3 linked regions of the Drosophila melanogaster genome follow. The protein of the gene in region 3 interacts with the protein of the main gene of each other region in a pairwise test. Each region holds a gene or a part of one and is shown on either strand. Other genes may lie near its edges.

Evidence for each region.
Region 1: the proteins of CG14480 (region 3) and REG interact in a two-hybrid assay, tested with the Drosophila melanogaster proteins (one large-scale study listed by BioGRID).
Region 2: the proteins of CG14480 (region 3) and mRpS22 interact in a two-hybrid assay, tested with the Drosophila melanogaster proteins (one large-scale study listed by BioGRID).

Annotation. Positions count from the first base shown.
Region 1 is NC_004354.4:13,210,465-13,214,218, reverse strand, and holds the start of REG (proteasome regulator gamma), read right to left. Parts: upstream 1,895-3,754; 5' UTR 1,827-1,894; intron 1,770-1,826; 5' UTR 1,631-1,769; coding exon 1,261-1,630; intron 1,064-1,260; coding exon 696-1,063; 3' UTR 1-695. Other genes in the region: sno (strawberry notch), read left to right, coding at 3,117-3,119.
Region 2 is NT_033777.3:27,915,242-27,918,858, forward strand, and holds mRpS22 (mitochondrial ribosomal protein S22), read left to right. Parts: upstream 1-1,666; 5' UTR 1,667-1,760; coding exon 1,761-2,942; 3' UTR 2,943-3,007; downstream 3,008-3,617. Other genes in the region: CG5003 (uncharacterized protein), read right to left, coding at 1-101, 155-316, 370-492, 551-821, 907-1,187; Boh1 (buddy of Hmr 1), read right to left, coding at 3,017-3,617.
Region 3 is NT_033778.4:17,562,334-17,566,087, reverse strand, and holds CG14480 (uncharacterized protein), read right to left. Parts: upstream 1,749-3,754; 5' UTR 1,652-1,748; coding exon of another isoform or gene 1,341-1,651; 5' UTR 1,181-1,340; coding exon 985-1,180; intron 925-984; coding exon 764-924; intron 701-763; coding exon 308-700; 3' UTR 236-307; downstream 1-235. Other genes in the region: Ns2 (nucleostemin 2), read left to right, coding at 1-229; CG46428 (uncharacterized protein), read right to left, coding at 1,370-1,651; CG43324 (uncharacterized protein), read right to left, coding at 2,103-2,303; Klp54D (Kinesin-like protein at 54D), read right to left, coding at 2,735-2,747, 2,807-3,130, 3,550-3,754.

The sequences.
Region 1 (3,754 bases), on a different chromosome or scaffold from region 3:
ACAAATATCGAACGCAAAAGAATTTACTATGTGACATTTTGGCGGGCATTTTTAATTCATAGTAACGTTAAGAATTTTCTGAACTGTTAAATCAGAAGGTTGTCTTTTTCGATTGGCCGCATCGAATGCAATAATTTCCACCTTATTAAATGTCTGGGCGCCTGTTTCGATTTTGCGATAGATATCAATCCCCAAAGTAGAACCCATAGTCAATACGTAAAACAAGAAAACAAGCACAGTGTTACCTATTCGGAGCGAATTACTTATAAAGATTTATATTTCACACATTTTTAAGGACATTTTCCGTATGAGGGGCGCCCGTGTTATAAATTTACATTAGGAAATGTTGAAAAAATGTGTCAATGGAGCTCGCCTATTCTTTTTATGCATAGCTATAGCTATTAGTGGAATCTATACAGCATCGGTTTCTTGTATTGTACGCCAATCTCAACATTACATTCTAGACGTAGTACAAATGGATTAATAGTTGATGGTAGTTAGGCTACAGCTATTGTTCAATCACTGCTCTTCAATTAAAGAATTTTGATGTTTGTAAACCGAATTGGAAAATCTTAGCTTTTTGAGTAGCGACAAGAATTGCTGACCGTCCGCTCTACGGGCTGATTATTGATTGAAAAGTAAGATGATGGAAAGGAAAAAAAAAAGTTGAGGCTCGGGCTTCGGAAATACCTAGCCTAATACAGGCTTTCGGTATTTGAGGAGCGCGGCTTCTTTAGCTTCTCGAGGTTCTTAATAACAATGTCGTGCAGCGAGGAGTAGCGATTGCGGACCTCACAAACGACCAGCCACAAGCTGAGGTACTCCTTCTCGTCAAGTTCGACGACTGCGCGCCGATAATCATCGATGTGCGGATACTTGGCCACCTTGGACACCACCTTGGCGCGCGACAAGAAATAGCGCGATATCTGGTCAAAGAAGGCGGCCGCCTCGGATTCCACAGTTTGAATTTCGGCAAGCGTGTCCTCTTGAATGGAGACGCCAAAGTTGTTGCCATCCTCGATCTTGGGTATCATAAAGGAGATCCACATCTTAAGTAGATTGGCTGCAAAAGAAATCAATTCAGAAATTACTAGGTATTCATTAAAAAGCTTAATGTCAGGCAAAACTTTAGCTACTGGCATTTGTACCGTTCGAATGTAAAAATTCTTGGAATTCATTGTTTTAGGAAAATTGAAGGGGCTCTTGAATAGCATAAAAACATTTATTAGGTTGAGACGCTTGAATATACGGTGTACTTACAATCCTCCACAAGCTTCCTGATGATAGGCTTGACGACCTTGATCATCTCGCAGAGCGGCTTGTTGCACGGCACTGTACCGGCGGGCAGACCCATGACAGGCTGCCCAGAGACGATGACATCCACGCGCTGGCGCTTGGTGGGCAGACTGTCACGATCCTCCAACTCGTTTTTAACCAGGAGAGGCGGCAGGACCGGGATGTTGAGGTCCTGGTGCACTTCTTCGAAGTTGCGCTCGTTGAAGATCGGCGTGGCCAGCAGCTCGTTCAGCCGGACGATATTCTCCGGGAACCCCTTGGTGATTAGCAGCTCTGCCTTGAGGATCAACGAGTCCTTGTACTCCTGCACCTTTACCACAGTGTCGTTAGGCATTTCGTTAGCTATGTGGATTCCTTTTCGTGTCCGTGGAAGCCTTTGATCCTGAGTCCTGTCTCCTGGCGTAGTACCGGTTCTTCTCGTTCCTTATCTTCTCAATAACAATCAGCAACGCGGACCGTCTGAAATCGGCGGACTTTTAGGGACTTGTGTCGGCGGATTGCGAAATTGAAAGCGGGAAAACCAGACTTACCGACAAATTTTGATGCCCAAGCAACAACACGCATGTGGTGCTAGAGGTGGAAGAAAAAGAATAATCGATGCTTATCGATAGCGTCGAAGTTTGCAGAAATTTTGCAAATTAATACCCCACAAGTATCTTAAATATCTTGAATGTCAATATATATTTTTTCTATACTTTTTTTAGATTGAAAGTCTTCTAATTACTTTCAGTTTCATAAACAAATTAGCTGAACATTAAAGTTGGCAAAACATATTTAAATGCATTAATGTACATTGCAGTTGGCATCATTTATTTAAATGCAACAGCTGAAGCTCGCTTCTCATTTACCATGTTAAACTTGCATATACTTTGTTGTAACGTGATTAGAATTTAACGGATATATATCATGAAATATAAAGAAATAAGACGCGCGCCATTTATCGATAGTCTTGTGTGCACCGCGTGCCAGACCGATAGATTTGTTTAAATACCAAGTAAGTTTATTATGTCTCCCTTTGTGCAATTTAAAATGTTTTCATTTAAATATCTATATTTTTAAAATATTTTCCATATATATATATTATAAGTAATATTAAGCTATTAATATTTTTAGAGCAAACACGCTATAAATAAGTGTGCCCAAATATAAGTTTTAGTATACATCGGCATTCTTATCAATAATCGTCAAACTGACGTTTTCTCGCTTCACCATTATCGATTCTCATCGATGTTTTTCCAGCTCTATCTAGTTGGCATCTCGTTAGTTGCGATAGTTGGCATGTTACGTGTGTTTTCGGCTTCGTCGCTTCATTCTCGTCTCGTTCTCGTTTCCTTCCTCCTTTATTCCGATTCCTCGTTTTGCGTGTATTGCGCGGTACAACGCATACGAACAAATTTATCCGAAGCGAAATACCGCGTGCAGCAACAAAAGAAAAACACACTCAACAACAACAACACACACGCATGCACACACGCATGCAGTCATTATCGCAACACCAATAACAACAGGAAGAACAACAACAACAAAAACATTTCTAACGCGCTGAAAATTGCGGAGTCCAGCCTTTTATATTTGCTGCATTTGCTATCTAACTTGCCGCACAATTGTTCTGTTCCGTTGACAGCATCAAAAACGCATTGTTAAAAAGAAATTAATATATAAATTTTAAACAAAACACAAAAAAAAACCAAGAAAAGAACGAAAAACGCGTGGGTGCGCGGTCTGTTGATTTTTTTTTTGTGGTTAACAACAACAACAAGAACCATCGGAGGGACGAACATCAAGAACAACCACCGTTAGCAGTAAGCAGGAGAATCAAAATGGTAAGTTTAAGTTAGCTGGCTTTTTTGTTGTTGCCGTCAATAGCATGACTTAATATAAATTTCTTTGTTGCTAAATTTTGACACACTCACATTTACCCACACACACATGCATAAAACAAAAACAAAGCGGCTGCAGAAGCTGATGAAGGAGAATAATAATGAGAAGAAGGAGCAGTAGCCAACTCATTCAATAATTGTTGTTTCTCCTTTTCTTGCGCCTTTCGCTCTTTCCTCGTCCACCCATTTTGTTGTTGTTGCTGTTTTTTTTATCTGCAATTGTTTTCTTCTGTAATTTCTAAGGATGCATTTTATATCGCAGATTCGCGTGGCCTGGAACCATGTGTTTTTCTCTCCCTCTCATACTCCCTCTTAGCGCTCGCCCCTCTCTTTCGTGCACACACGCTGAGTTTAGTTTTGGCGTTTTTTCCCCCGCACACGAGTTAAACGAATTCAGTCGACAAAAGTTGCGCTAGGTTAGGGTTAAGGCCATGCGACTCAGGGGCAACATGTGGGTTAAGACCATGGGCGGGGTATGGGGCTATGGGTCTATGGTGCATCATTGAATTGAGGATGACAACTATTTTTCAGGGGGCGGCATCGTTTTGAATGTTATCAAAACTATGACCATACAATTT
Region 2 (3,617 bases), on a different chromosome or scaffold from region 3:
AGGATCTGTGGCGACTCAAGCAGCAGTTCCTTGAGATTCTCGATAGCGCTAAAACACTGCAGATCTGAGTTGTTGATGGGCGTCTGGCGAAGATCTAGTGACTGAAATAAATAACCCTTTATAAAGAATATTCGCCGATTGCACCTATGCCAACCTCTAGTTTTTGGAAACCGAAACGTGCCGCCATGCTGCCATAGGGCACAAACTTGCATAGCGCCTGACAGCCCTTAAGACTAAGACGCCGCAAGGAAGGTAACTTCGACAGGCCCATAATATAATAGGGCTCGAACCAGCTGTTGTCCTCAATACTGAGATCCTAAATAAGACGGGGTTAGGCTATTCATTGGACTGTCGTTCGCTCAAACTCACCTCTAGATCAAGCAGATGCAGCTCTATGGAGTAAAATATGCTTTTTGGCGTGTCGCCGACCCTAACGCTACAGTCCTTTAGCTTCAGACGCCTCAGAGTGGCCGGGAACTCAGTTATGTGTATCTGAAGAAAAGATAAAATTGGGGTAGACCAGGGAAACTTGCGAGATGCCAGCACTCACGTATTCGAAGTCCAGGCTGACGCCCTCCAGCTCCAGCACTTTAAGCTGTACAACCCTGGGGAAAACGGAGCTTAGCGTTTGGGTGAACTGGCGGAATTCGCCTGCAACATGCTGCGAGGACGGAGGTCCGCAGATTTTAATGGTGTGTGTCTTTTCGGTGGCTCGTCCAAGAATCTCTTCTAGGATGCCCATAGGCAGGGGCCCGTTGCTTAAGTCTATGTGATGATAGAAGCGGTGATCCAGCAGGAGGTTTTCAAAGCGCGGCGAGCAACTGGAATATTACGGAATGTTATAATATGGAAAGGACATGGAAATCTCAGCGACGCAGAGATCTTTGTTGATAGCGGACTACTTACTGCATCACCGCCAGAATGGAGGACGTGTCCAGGTACTGGAAGATCTCGAAGAGCAGCTCATCACAGAAGTCCATGAGGTTGCACTCCGTTTCCCGGTCGAGGGATTCCTTATGCTCCTTCTCCCTTTTGCGCTGTTTTATCTCCGGCTCCTCCTCGGTAGGGATTTGTGGCAGCACTGGCTGCACGGGCACGGCGGCCAGCTCCCGCCCACAACGTTCGTTGTCCGGGAAGCGGCGCTTAGGCGCTGCAAGGCACGTACTGCCCAATTCGGCCTGTTCCATGCTTGGGCTGCTCCTGCACTTTATTGCCAATTTTCGCCAGCAGCTTTTTTTCCAGCTAAATGCAATTGGTCAAGTGTGACCGCAGTCAGATCCCGAGATAAGCCGCTAGTAGGGGTATTCCTATGTCGAAGAGATGAAACTGGCTTCCGAATTTCCCGGTAATTTTTAATGTCGTTTTTATTATTATATTATTTTTTTTCTTGATTATTACGATTTGATACTAAAGGCGGTGGCACTAGCTGCTCATAGTTATACAATTGAGTCGTCTGGTAAAATGGGAACAATAACAAGTAGTTAATAATCGTTTAATTCTTATGTAGATAATAAAGTTGCCTATTTTGCTATTTTCCTATTTCAAACAAATATTGCATATTATGAATGAAATTTAAAAATAAGGCGCATTACGCATGTGCATGTGCATTAAAAAAGTTATTATACAAATAGAATAAACACATTAAATTAAATAAGATTCCTGTTGTCATTACTAGCAAGCAGTGTTGGAAAACACCGTGCTGCCCTCACTAATTTCTACACCCGTCTCGTGTATTTTTGTGCCTGATTTACTGACTGAAAATGCACCTGCTGCGGAGCCTGCGCCAGCTGAATGGCCTCCAAGGAGTGCGCCAAGCTATCCGGCAGGTGTCCTCGGCGCCCACCAAGCCCGCCGCCCTGCAGTACGAGCGCGATCCGCAGCCGCTTTTCACGGATGCCGAAACCCAGCGGCTGCTCCAGTCCATGACGCAACTGAACTTGGACAAGGTGTATCGGAAGCGCACGGTGCCGGACAACAGCAGCGAAACGAAGTTCATGAGCAACGAGCAGCTGGACAACGAGTTCCAGAACTTGGTGGTGCGGGCTCAGCAAATTCTGCAAATGCCACCCATTGTGCAGATCAAAAAAGATGTGGAGCGGGTGATAGCCAAGGATACGGCGCTGAAGGACTTCGCCAACTCCAAGTTCGTATTCACGGACATCACCTTCGGCCGACGGCAGTCGGAACGCAAGGTAATCGTCCGGGATATGGACGGAACCTTGGCCTACGCCACTCTTGATACCACGAAGCGCATGAACCAGTTGTATTTCCCGCTGGAGGGTCGCCAGTCATATACTCCACGAATGTTCGCGCTGGAGGAGCTGCTGGCCAAGTGCTTGGCGGAGCACAAGTACGAGTTCATCCTGGATCGACTCTTGGTGCAGTACGAGCCACATGAGCCGGAGTTCCACAACATTTCAGCGCGTGTGTTCGAGCATCTCAACGAGTCCAAGGAGTTCGATCTTCTGCGCTCCACCCGCCACTTTGGACCCATGGCCTTCTTCTACGCTTGGCACCGCTGCATCGACGACCTGCTGTATGACATGATCCGTCGGGATTATCTGCACAATGCCGTGGAGCTGATTGCTCTGAGCTACAAGCTACACAACATCCCAGTGGAGTATCAGGCAACGCTGACCGAACTGGGCAAACTGCATGCCACGCCGGCGGAAAGTGCCCTGGCGGAGCTAAGAAGCGTCTTCCGACGACATGACAATAAGCAGAACATTGAGCAGGAGATCCATACGGCCATTGGCAAGACGGAGCACGATTTCGCCGCCGATGAGATCAGCCTGAAGTTCATTGAGCAGTACATCGCCAGCGAACATGCGCTGAAGAAGGTGCAACTGGAGCTGGCGGTGCAGACGCTTAAGGAAGTTAACCGGGAGAAACTGATGCTGTTCCAGGGACTGAAAAAGGCTCACGGCGTCCAGGCTTCGTAGGATCTATTCGCTTTATTGTTATCGATTTCTATGTACTAATAAATACCAGCTAGGTCAAGATTTCTATACGCTGTTCATAGCTCCTTCTTGAGGACCCTGGACAGCCGTCTAAAATGGCCAAGGATGCACTGTCTCCGGTGCCGCAGGCATACCCGCTCGCTGCTGAAACGCTTCAAGCAAACTGAGCAACGTCTGGGATCACCTCTTCCATTGGGCAACCCGTTGTGTTCGCGAAATAGGACGACCACTTTCGCCTTGGCACAACTCTGTTCTTTTTTTCGGTGTACCAAAAGAGAGGTGGTGGTCTTGAAGTAACGTTTGCACTGAAGACATCTGTAGCACTTCCTGCCGCTATGGTTTCTCAGGTGCCTGAGCAACTGCATCTCTGAGTGGCTCATGGCGTTGCAGAGTAGATGTGGGCATTTAAAGAGCATCGATGACTTCCTGGGCGCTAGAGCGGGACAGCTCAGACTGTGTTGCTTCAATTGTTTCTGGTGGTCCAGACGCTGACCACAGCGAAAGCACAGAGCACCAGGTCCATAGTGCGCGGTCATGTGGCTCTGGTGCTCCAGCAAGGTTTTGGCCACATCGCCGCACACCGCGCACTCCATCATGCCGTTGGGAAATATGAATGTGTTCTCGCTCACGTAGGTGAGAAATTTGTCGGAATTGGAG
Region 3 (3,754 bases):
GGCCATCACATCGTCTGGTAAATTCCGAGTGGCCAAAATACAACCTGGTGATTCGGATGGTGCTGGCAGCTCTGACGACGATGGACCCAGCACTTCAAAGGCTCCTCGGTTGACTGCAAAGCAAAAACGCTCCCTGGAGCGCAGTCAGAAACGCAAGAAGATTGGCAGCAACTTTTACGAGACGACAAATGTTAAGAATCGCAATAGAAACAAAAAGAAGGACGCGTAAAATATTACGTTTACACTCTAGGCTATATTTTCTTGCAAGGAAAAACTACACTTTAAGAATCCAAATAAAAAGTTGATCCTACTCTGAGCACTGCTTCTTCTTGGGAATTTTGCGGCCACATAAGTCGGTTCGGCTGCACATACTGGGTTCCTCCTCATCGGTGCTGGCCTCCGAGTCACTAGACTCCGTGTAGGAGCCGATGCCCGGAAGTATAGCGATGCACTTTAGGGCCCCCTGGTTGTATTTGTTTGTAATTAATGTGGTGTTCGTTGTCTTATCAGCAGGGTCCTTGGTTGCTTCATTTGTCGCTGTCTGTTCGACCTCATTCTCAGTGATTTTGGCTACTTTACTGGTGGTGGGCAGTTCGCCGTTTTTTCTCTTGATGCCCTGGCCGAGCAGCGTCTTCTGAGTGCTACGCCCGACCGAAGCTCCCGCGGACTTCGCTGTGGTTTTTAGTTCAGCTTGCAGTTTCTGAGGGTTGCGGAAGTTCGGGTGATTGTAAAATCAATTGATTGTTGCTGTAACTTTACCCACCTTGTCTACACTCTCCTCCTGCAGCTTTTCCACACGATTGCGAAAATCCTTTAGTTCTAGCTCCTCGTCGCGCATTTGCTGGCGCTCCGCGTGTATTTTATGGGCATCGACCAATTCCAGAAACTGCACCTCATCATCGTCCAGACCACGGATGAGGTTTTCTATACGTATATTACGCATGTTAGGATGGCCAGATTGCATTGTTTATGGCATAGTCTTACTCAGCTTGTGGGCTTCCTCGAACTCCATGTCCTTCTTGTCCTTATTTTGTTTGAGGCGTTCATAAAGTGAGCGCCCATCGTAGGGTTCCTCAGGTCGTTCTAGTGGATCCTCCGGCTGGCGTACACGCTCCCATTCCTCCTGACGTCTCTGCCTTTGCTCGGTCGCCTCAGCTTCAGTCACAAAGCCCGAACTCATGCTGTACTTTCGTAAAATTGCTCTTTTTTACAGACCACAACTATTGCCAGTGTGGTGAACGTCGAATTAGCAGCTGTGCGATGATATAGAAGTGTTGGTAGTGGCTCGTGAAAATTTGAACTAGTGGCGGGAATTGCTAATGCTTCTGTGTCATTTTAAGTTAAACGTTGAAAAACTTTCCAAGTCCCACTAAAATGAACTATCCTTATAAACTCTTTTAATATGACAGCGCCTTACTCTACCAACTGGAACACTGGGGCGACCACGGGCCCTAAGCCTGGCTCGATTTATTTCGGCTATCTGCACAAAAACTGATTTTTGGGCGGTTGTCATTTCTCGCCATTTTCTGCCGGCTATTTTGGCCAAGGAAATCGGTTTCAGATGGCAAATGTCCCGCTTTTGAAGATTAATCCGAAAGTGGTCAAAGAAAATAAAGTAGGGATTAGCGGATGGGAACTTGCTTGGTCGCATTGTCCATGGTAAAGGCGAGACACTCATCCGGAACATTCTGAAATTTTGAAAATTCTTCCTCAGGTAAATCGAAACAAATACCCTTCACATGAAAATCACTGGTTACATGACTTTATTTCAGGAATATCTCAATAGGAAACATCTATATAGGATGGGGCTTTGCTAAATTCTCCAATAAAGAGCTACAGGATTAGCAAAATACACGATATTCATACACACATATGCAGGCGTTTTAGGTGAAGACGGTTTCTCGTATTTTGTTTATACATCCATAAATTCTCGGTTCGTCCGTTTCCAATGTATATACTTAGTTTATAGACATAATTGAGGTCAGCACACTTACAACGAACAGCAAATAGGTAATACGACTGATTCTGAACTTCGCCGTGATTGAGTATACATTATAGGATAATACTGTTAGGATTGGGTCCGGATCATGATGTATCCGAATCTACAGGATGCTGCAGGAGCTTTTCTCGCGAAACGGATTCACCTTCTGTGTGAAGCCGCTGAGCAGGCAGTCTTCCTCCTCGTGCTCCAACATGTACTTCATCATCAAGGAGCATGCCACCGAGACGGGCATACGCTCCATCTCCACTTCCCGCCGTAGCTGCAAGTTGATGGAGCGCTGCTGTTGCAAATTAGCAGCCATTATGTCCAGGACGGCTGTCTCCGCGAGACCTATGGTGGTTGCTGGGATGCTAATACTGCTGTAATATTGATTTGATTCAATTTGAGTTGTGCTTATTTCGATTTCCCCAATATTGTAAGCGAGAAATATGCGCTCTACTTCTCGATGAAATATTTTATTGGGGGCGCTGAAAAATCAATATTTATAAAAAGTGTGACCGCGTTGAGAATGGTGCTTTAGTTTTCCGACTTTTGCCAGCCGTTGGTGAAAGCTTCTTGTTGGTGTGGGGAAAGATTTCACAGTTTTTGAATCTTGGAATAACTATAAGCTTTCATAAATTGTATCAATATATGTCCTATTGGCTATAGATTTTTTTTATCAATGTTTTGTACACCGTTTATTTTATTTATTGCAAAAATATATAGTTTACAACTGTTTTTATTTAAAGTTAATTATGTGAGCATGCTGGAAATAAAAATGAAATTATGAGTAAAATTAATTAGGTGATGTTTCTAAAAACTTACTCTGGCATAAACTCTGTCGACTGCTTAGCATGCGCCTCCTCCGGATTCAGGTTCAACTCCTTGGTAATGTCTGAGTCCGGTTTCCGGAATGCATTGGCCATAATCAGAATGTTCTTGGCTATTCTTTTCTGATCGATTCGCTTTTGAGCCGTATCTGTCCGTCTATTAGCGTTCTCCGACATCCGCTGCTCTATTGGTAAATCTGGTCCTGGTGGAGATTGGAGCGGTTCTGGATTTGTCCAGATCTCAGTGCCAGGTGTTTCCTTTCCTGTCGTTGGGGATATGGCCGGACGTGCTGGTATCAATGGGGAACGCACACAGACTCTGTAAAAGAATATTAATAAACATTAAATCATAATTTAATCATAGTGTTTTTACTTTGTAATGAAAAATGTAGAGAAGCTACGAGCTTCATAGGAACAAAAACAAACTTTTATTACAAATCCTTACATGACTAGTCACACTCTTGGCTTGTTTTTTTTTAACATTTACGAATACATTTTACATAAAACTGGTTAAAAAGTAGAAAACATTCGATATATGTATATAGGTAATATTTCACTCCTTATTCGGCTGGACCTTCTGGCTTGGCTCACTGTCCTCATTCCCGTTCGGATTCGACCTAGAACGAGTCAGAAATGGGAGAGAACAATGAGCCAGTCCTGGAGAAGGAATCAAAAACCAGTTCAAGACTTAAAACTATCGTTCCGACCCGAATTCAACATGCAAAGCATCCCACTTACTTATTGACATCCTCCAGCTTCTTAAGCAGGCGCTCGTTTTCTCGGCAGACTATCTCCTGATCCCTAAGAATGGTTTCCCGCACGGTGAACAGATGATTATTCTCCTGCCTCAGGGATTCGTTCTCCACCATGTATAGCTTAACAAGCTCGGCGAGTTCGGAGCCATCAAGCTCCGGTAATCGCTGCAAATCAACTTTGGGCACTG